2 linked regions of the Danio rerio genome follow. The protein of the gene in region 2 binds, or shares a complex with, the protein of the main gene of each other region. Links are inferred from orthologs where the notes say so. Each region holds a gene or a part of one and is shown on either strand. Other genes may lie near its edges.

Region 1 (4,493 bases), on a different chromosome or scaffold from region 2:
CTATAATTGTGACCACTCAAGTATGAAAGGGACTAAAATATAAAAACAATTTAATCCTGTATCCAAAAAAAAGAAATCAGATGAACCATGTAACATCATAATCTAATAAGAGAAACACATGAACTTACTTTGGCTCAGGTCAAATACACCTGACATCACCAAAAGGCCCCCAAAACATTGCAAAATTTCACCTTAAGAAAGAAAGAGAGTGTGATTGTGCTAAACATCGGGTGGTTGTAAAGACGGGGTCATTTTTATGTGAGGGCACCATTTTGAGCTTGTAATAGTGGGAAAGATCAGTCCATATTATCCTCTTTACTACACGATAACAGGCTCCCGCTGGTTGTTCTGCCTTTTCACTACGAAAACCTTCTGTCCGGAGATGGTCACAGCATAGACGTAGTCTTCAAACATCACTGACATCAGACAAAAAAGGAAAGAAAAAAATATACATTAATATCAGTATTTGTTTGGAAGTTATGGATTTTCACAGCAAGTAAAAATGATTTACTGTAAAATAGTAAATGATCATATATCAATTATTTCTTATTGAATAAATTTAATTAAAACAACAAATTAAAGAGGGTTATTTTATTTTATTAGGGCTATTTTGTTCCTAAACAAAATCAAGAGGATAAAAAAAGACTTAAAATGGTTACACATGAAACCATAAAAACTAATAAAACCTTTTTTTTTTTAAACAGACCTATTTAAAAACACAACTGATAGAAATACATAACAAAATTGCTTAAACTTTAAATAGAAAAAACACAAAATGTAAAGATAAAAACTATTTCAAACTGTAAAAATATCTGGATAATACTTAAACCTAATGTTACAAATAAACACTAATACTACAGTGATATCTGAATATTACATAAACCTGATGTTACACAAGCATGTTTACTTTAATAATTCACATCACATTTTTTGAAAATTAAATGACAAAATATGAGTGAAATATTGTTCTATCATCATTCAGCATTTATCTAAAAATGAAGTGCGTTTCTTACCAGACATGCGCTTGAATGGGGGCTCTGCAGTCCCATGTAATCTGAAGCGACAAGCTGTTCGGACCATCTGCATGATCACTCCTGCTGTGTGCTCGTCATTCTCCAGCTCTCCTGCCGACTGTAGATTACAAAAAACATTCACTTACTGCTTAACTGAGACAAGTGGAGTCATTATTAATCCCCCTATGATATTTTCTTTTTTAAATATTTCCCAAATTATGTTTAATAGAGCAAGGACATTTTCACATTATTTCATATAATATTGTTTCCTCTGGAGAAAGTCTTATTTGTTTTATTTTGGCCAGAATAAAAGCAGCTTTTCATACCATTTTAACTCAATTATTATTACCCCCCCCCCCCCAAGCAATATATTTTTTTAACTTGTCTACAGAACAAATTATTGTTAATTAAATTACTAATTAAACTAAGTATCTTCCTTAACCTAATTAACCCAATTAAGCCTTTAAATTGAACTTGAAGCTGAATACTATTATCCTGAAAAATATGTAGTAAAATAGTATGTACTGTCATCATGGCGAAGATAAAAGAAATTCATTAGTTATTCAATCTATTATGTTTAGAAAAGTGTTGAAAAAAAATCTCTCTGTAAAACAGAAATTGGGGAAAAATATAAAAGATTTAAAATTAAACAGCAAGGCTAATAATTCTGACTCAACTGTAAATGATAAATTGATTATATGATTAAAACATAGAACCTATCGAATATATAGAAAGAGACAGAGAGAGAGATAACCCCTTGAGCCAGGTGTGTCCAACAGACAGACAGACAGACAGACAGACAGATAGATAGATACAGTTAAAGGCACAATTATTGGCAATAAATAAATATTTTCCTTTTTTAATTTATTTTCATGAAGGCTGTTCAAAAGGAAGAAGATTTCTCAACACATTTTTAAAAATAATAGTTGTAATATATATATTTTTTAACAGAATCTGTCTTTGCCATGATAACACTGCATAATATTTTGCTAGTTATTTTACAAGATATTAGAATTCATCTTAATGAGTAACTTAAAGGCTTAACTTGGTTAATAAGTTTAACTAGGCAAGTCATTGAATACCATTATTTTGTTCTAAGGGCCTATTAACCTATTAAAATTGTTATTTTTTTATTTAAAAACTGCTTTTATTCCAGACAAAATAAAAGAAATAAAAAATTTTCTCAAGAATAAAAATATTATAGAAAATACTGTGAAAATGTCATTGCTCAGTTCATCATAACTTGGGAATTTTTTTTTAAATAATATGTATCAGTAGAGGCGTAATAATTTTGCCTCAAAGTGTAGACAGGCAAACAGAGACAGACAGAACAATAAGACTGACAGACATTGAATTCTAATTAATTATTTCTCATTTGCCCAAATCAGGATTCTCTTTTCAACGCATTTCACCCTCATGTCAAGTTCTCCGAAAATGTAAGTTATGAATTTTAACAGCTTACCGCGAGTACTCCGTCTTCACTAATAACCAAGTACCCAAGTTGATCGGGTATTCTCTCCAAGCCTTGAGTCAAAGCAGTAGTCTGACATTCAACACACGATAATACTGTAATTAAACACTAACAGAGCTCATATGATATTAGACTGCATCATCAATCACATTATTTACAAAATCTTTGTTTTATAAGTTCTAAATGCACTAAAACAAAACATTTAATAAAAAAAACATTTAATTAAACAAATATTTTAAAGGTAAGAATTATATTTACCATTTTAGACAGTGCAGATAAATGTACACTGCTGTTTTCCTTCACACCCCGCCTCACGTGACTGACATCAAGCGTCGCGTGTTTATAACGTCATTCCAGGAGATGTTTTGCTTATTCGACATTATTTTTGTTTATATGCATTGGAAACGTACAAAATGTGATAAAAAATCTTAGTATGACTAAAACGTGGCGGATTTTTATTTAATTTGCTAGGATTTATGCGCTGTTCTCGCATTTAACAAAAAATAATCTGTATCAGGATCAGATTCGCTGTCATAATCACCGCACACAGGTCGGTCGTTAACGCGAGCAGCACAGATCTCAGATCAGCTAAATAAGGCGCTTACGCGACTACGCAAAGCGGAAGTGAAGTGGTCAGCTGATTAAAGCATATGATCCTGCTGAACGGAAAACATTTCGTCCATTCTGCGTCTTTTATTTGAGCAAAATATAAGACAAAGTCACGATGCCCGGACGAGGAAAATTAATCGCAGTTATCGGTGATGAAGACACGTGCACCGGATTTCTCCTCGGAGGGATCGGAGAGCTCAATAAAAACCGTAAACCCAATTTCTTGGTGGTGGAGAAGGAAACCAGCGTTACAGAGATAGAGGAGACCTTCAAGTAAGTGACACGATCCTAAATGTCTGAATGACTCAACATCATATATTACAATCTAATTATCAAATATGTGTCATTACAAATATATGGATGAAGACTTGCTTTTTAAAAAAATATTTATGTTTATCTATCTATCTATCTATCTATCTATCTATCTATCTATCTATCTATCTATCTATCTATCTATCTATCTATCATATCAGCCAAATATTTTAGAAAAAACATTTATATATAAATTATTTTTATGTAGTAATAATTACCTAAATTTGTCAAGAAACCCACTTAAATGTCTTTTAGTTTAACAATATTTTATATACACCAGTAAACTGTCAATCATATTTGCAAGAAACTATTAAAGACATATCAAACTATTAATATTATGAATTACAGTGCAGCCCCTATTGACAATTGTCATTTAAATATCCTTTGTCACTATTCTTCAAACTACTGATCAATTTTGAATAATTTAAATATAAGAACATGTTTGTCTGATCTCTTCTTATTCTGACGATAGATCATTTTGAGGAATGTAAACAAAAACAAATGTTCCAACGTATTTTCTGTTTTACATTTTTAATTTTTATAGCTTACGAGAATCTAAAAAGAGCCTGCTTATTGATAAATAATGTTATGATAGCTTTTTTAGAATTAAGTTATTATTCAATTGTTTCTTTGATATCAAGCATAGGCCAATGTCATCACCACAATGAAATGGTCTATATGAATAAGTACAAGTCCAAGTCAATATGTAGTTTGGTATTTACATAAATATGCAATAATGTCTGATTTTGATTATAATTTCACCCATGCTTGCATTTAATTTTCAGAAGAGTTATTTGAAACATCAAAGTATGCGCTGTATATGCATTTAATACAATAATAAAATTATATTATGTATAACACCTTAGTAGACATACAGAAAAAAATGTCTTACTAACACATATATTATGCATTAATATATACAGTAAACATTACTTTTCCCAATAACCTTTTGAATTGTAATTTTTGGATTAACAAATAGATGCAGAGAATAGTAGATTTTTGTAATTGTACAATTTTTTTTCTGTCAACATTAACTACAGCATGTCTGTCGTTTATGACTAACAGGAGTTTCCTTGCTCGCAATGACA
Region 2 (4,579 bases):
CCAGAGAAAAGTAGTCAAAGTAAAGCAGCGTGTCGTACAGTGCCGTCCGCTGCAGGATGACCGTGAGCAGGGCTTGTTCGTCTGTGCGGTTGGACGGCAGATTGTCTGCATTTCGCTCTGAGCCATTAGTGGGTTTTCTTTCTTGGTTTGGGTCAGGAATCAGTGGCTTCACCTCATCTCCATCCTGCAGGACCAAAACATCAACACATCCTGTTCAAACACCCAGAAAGACCACTTTATTTTCATGTAAGCTAACAGGCTGCATTCACGCTGCAGATCTTGATGGTCAATTGCGATTTTGTGACTGTATCTGATTTTTTTGATGACCTGCTTACATCATTAATTAAAAGGGACTCGTATCCGATTGTCTGCATTTACACAGTACACAGCAAAGGCGCAATGACCAGGAAAAATAATTAAATTAAATAAAAATAGAAAAAAAGAGTGGGCGATATCCCAATATAAAAATAAATCATAAATACTCCTCATACTTTCGTACAACTGTTATAAATACTCCCAGACCTGAAAATCCACTAATACATTCAACTTTTCCATCATTGAGAAAACCCTTAATACTACATATCCCCAAACATTAACATTAGGACATGTCAGATCTGACACATTAGATCCAAATCCAACACAATTTACGACAAATCCCACAGAAACACCAGCTTTAGTTCATTAAAAAAACACACGTTGATGATCAAATATACATAAAAAAAGTAGCGTAACTGGAATAATTTTGACGCAGTTTTGACAAACACTCAGCATTGAGCTGTTCTTGAATCATAAACACACAACTGTATTAAAAATGTGTCGTAAGTAAATGTTGTTGCAGGACTACAGACGCTACATTAAGCTGCATTATTAGTGTTTTGGGTATTTGTCTGTACTGGACAGCATAACACCAACTTTTAGTGCAAACCCTACAATATTTAGACATTTTAATTTAAAACATTTTCACGTTTGGCTTCAGTTTATTATTTAAAACCAACTAAAATCATAACTGCATTAAACTGTATTAAAAGTGTGTCGTAAGTAAATGTTGTTGCAGAACTACAGACGCTACATTAAGCTGCATTATTATTGGTATTTTAAGTTATTTTTCAGCATTGGACAGCATAAAACTAACTTTTAGTGTAAATCCAACAAAATTTGCACATTTTAATTTAAAAACCTTTTCACGATTGGCTTAATTAATTTTTTTTTTTTAGCTCACTAAAATCAGAAATACTCCTCATATTTTCGTACAACTATTATAAAAACTCCCAGGCCTAAAATCCACTAATACAGTGGTTCTCAAACTGTGGTACGTGTACCACTAGCGGTACGCAGGCTTCCTTCTAATGGTACGCAGAGGAATCCTACATGTCACGTACAAGCAACATATATTTCAAAATTTATCAAAAATGGTTTGAATATGAATATGATGACATATAGCCTATTTATGAGGTCCAAGCAACATTTCCAGGTTTTGATAAATAGGACTTTACATTTAAGTACAGCAGTTTTTTTCTATTTAAGGACAGTAACCTACCATTTTTATTAAACCTTTAAAAGCACATTAATTTAAACGTTAACATTAATTTTTTTGTTTGTTTGTTTACATATAAGCAGAGTACAGTCTTAATGTTACTATTTATAATGTTTAAAGTGGCTTATAATAATAAATATCCTTAATAGTAGTAGTTATTTTACCACGTTATTAAACTGTGCAGAGCTGCAGCTGTTTTACTGGGCCTACTACGCTACTGTATTTCAATACCGGTCATTATGGTGGTACTTGGAGGAACAATCTTTTCTGAGGTGGTACTTGATGAAAAAAGTTTGAGAATTACTGCACTAATATATTTAACTATTCCATCATTGTGGAAACCCTAACACTACATTTCCCCAAACATTAGCATTAGCACATGTCAGATCTGACACATTAGATCCAAATCCAACACAAAACTCTCAATTTAAGACTATTTCCACCGAAACACCAGCTTCAGTTCATTACAAACACACGCTTATGATATAATATACATAAATAAAGTAGCGTTAGTGGATTAAGTTTGTTGTAGTTTTGACAAACACTCAGTATTGAGCTGTTCTTGAATCACAAACACACAACTGTATTAAAAGTGTGTCGTAAGTAAATGTTGTTGCAGGACTACAGACACTACATTAAGCTGCATTATTATTGGTATTTTAAGTTATTTTTCAGCATTGGACAGCATAAAACTAACTTTTAGTGTAAATCCAACAAAATTTGCACATTTTAATTTAATAAACCTTTTCACGATTGGCTTAATTTTTTTTCTTTTTCACTCAATAAAATCATAAATACTCCCCATATTTTCGTACAACTGTTATAAAAACTCCCAGGCCTAAAATGCACTAATATATTTAACTTTTCCATCATTGTGGAAACCCTAACACTACATTTCCCCAAACATTAGCATTAGCACATGTCAGATCTGACACATTAGACCCACATCCAACACAAAACTCCCAATTTAAGACTAACTCCACCGAAACACCAGCTTCAGTTCATTACAAACACACGTTAATGATCAAATATACATAAATAAAGTAGCGTTAGTGGATTAAGTTTGTTGTAGTTTTGACAAGCACTCAGTATTGAGCTGTTCTTGAATCACAAACACACAACTGTATTGAAAGTGTGTCGTTAGTAAATGTTGTTGCAGGACTACAGACGCTACATTAAGCTGCATTATTAGTGTTTTGAGTTACCGGATCCGTCGTCTCGCTGTCGCTGCTGAAACAGCACCCCATGATGGCCGCCCAGCGGGTTCAGTATCCTGAATTTGGGTTTTTTATTCGTCTCAGGAGCGTTTTTGAGGTTGTGTTTGCCTCTTGGCTGTGAAGAGATTTGCTGCAAACGCAGAAACCATCACATGACAGCACTCCCAATCGTGTCACGTGTCTTCCGTCTCCACACTGGCACGTCAGTTCCGCCCCAAAAACCCGTTAAAAACCTTCATAGATATATACATTAGATGTCGCCTGGCCTATTGTTGTCTATTGGACGGAATGCGTCAATAGCGCCGCCATCTTGCTACAGGGTAGCGCTCCTTTGAAATGAATGCAGGACCAAGGTACAGTGGAGGACTGTGGCCATCCAAAGCCAGAGATATACACATATATCTATGATCGGGAGTTTTCCTGGATGTTGTATGTAATTTTTTTTTTCTAATTACGAAAATTATAATTTTACATCACATTCCTGACAAAAAGCTTGTGTTTGTGTGTACAGAAATGTACTATCCACCCTCCCTGTTAAATTTGATCTAATCATGTCCTGAAACACAGCTCCTCTCCTGCTTTCACTTCTCATACTGACGGAGCGGGAGCGAGTTGGAGCTGCTTTGCCTTATGGTGAATGCAGTAAGTCACTGTTTTCATCAATAACGTTACCTGATTAGCACAAAAGTTCAGAACATACAAAAACAGAAAAAACTTTTTATTACCTATGGAATGTTCTGCCTTTGTGCTTTGTTTTCTGTTTTGCTCGCTAAAGTCCCGCATCTTCACGTAATAACACTGACTTGACTAGTGCGGTTGAATGACATTTGTACTGGGAGCACTGTACCAATGTGGCGGCGCTATTGACGCATGCTCAGGGTCCCTATGCGATATCTAGTGTGTGTATGTATGTATATATGGAATGTATATATGTATGTATATATATGTATGTATATATATGTATATATATGTATATATATATATGTATGAAAAACCTTTAGGAAACCTTTATGAAAAACCTTTAAGAAACATCATGCTTTTTTTTTTTTTTTTTTTTTGCAATAATAACAGTACTTTACAACAAATACAGATACAAAACTGAAAGTATGGTACAATCAATAGAAATATTACTTTTTGAAAAAGTGGAATGTAACAAATTTAGAACAAATATAATATAGGTAAATCAAAATAAAGACAACGAGAGAGAGAGAGAGAGAGAGAGAGAGAGAGAGAGAGAGAGAGAGAGAGAGAGAAATAATAATAATAATTAAGGGCACATGACAAAGATTAAACAAATTATTGCAGGATATTAAATAAAGCACATATTTTATAAGTTTTAATAGCTTTCTTATTGTGAGAGTCTGTGATGGGTTTTTTTTTAAATAAAGAGCTAGTTCTCGTTTAAAAAAAAAAAAAAAAATAGGCTTACAATGAGTATATTTGCATTTGTGTATAAAAAACTTTCCAATAAATAAAATGTGGTTTATGCAAAAAGTTGAATTAAGGAATTCTTTTCCTTTAATATAAAACCACAAAATAATATGTCTATAGCTTAAAGAAAAATCTCCACAAACCTTTTGGATAATTAGAGAGTTTACATTAGACCAAAAAGATTTAACAGAGGGACACTCCCGAAACAAGTGAGCAACAGATTCAGAAGAGGTTTCACAGAAAGAGCAAGAGATGCCAATGTCATTTTTACATTTTTGTAAAAATTGTTTAACGGGATAAAACCTGTAAATAATTTTAAAAGATATTTCTTTAATTTTATTTGTTAAAAAAAATTCTGGGGGAGCGACCAGACATACGACCATTTAATATCCTCAAA

What was found.
Region 1: lamtor1 (region 2) and lamtor4 share a complex: the UniProt entries of both Homo sapiens proteins name them as parts of the ragulator complex. The link is inferred for Danio rerio from reciprocal best matches to the Homo sapiens genes LAMTOR1 and LAMTOR4.

The regions. Positions count from the first base shown.
Region 1 is NC_133179.1:20,644,234-20,648,726, reverse strand, and holds the start of lamtor4 (ragulator complex protein LAMTOR4), read right to left. Parts: upstream 2,806-4,493; 5' UTR 2,746-2,805; coding exon 2,743-2,745; intron 2,593-2,742; coding exon of another isoform or gene 2,557-2,592; coding exon 2,476-2,556; intron 1,132-2,475; coding exon 1,014-1,131; intron 417-1,013; coding exon 319-416; 3' UTR 1-318. Other genes in the region: atp6v1f (V-type proton ATPase subunit F), read left to right, coding at 3,209-3,366, 4,471-4,493. UniProt on the Homo sapiens protein: As part of the Ragulator complex it is involved in amino acid sensing and activation of mTORC1, a signaling complex promoting cell growth in response to growth factors, energy levels, and amino acids.
Region 2 is NC_133190.1:46,802,572-46,807,150, forward strand, and holds the start of lamtor1 (ragulator complex protein LAMTOR1), read right to left. Parts: upstream 2,965-4,579; 5' UTR 2,782-2,964; coding exon 2,740-2,781; intron 185-2,739; coding exon 39-184; intron 1-38. UniProt on the Homo sapiens protein: Key component of the Ragulator complex, a multiprotein complex involved in amino acid sensing and activation of mTORC1, a signaling complex promoting cell growth in response to growth factors, energy levels, and amino acids.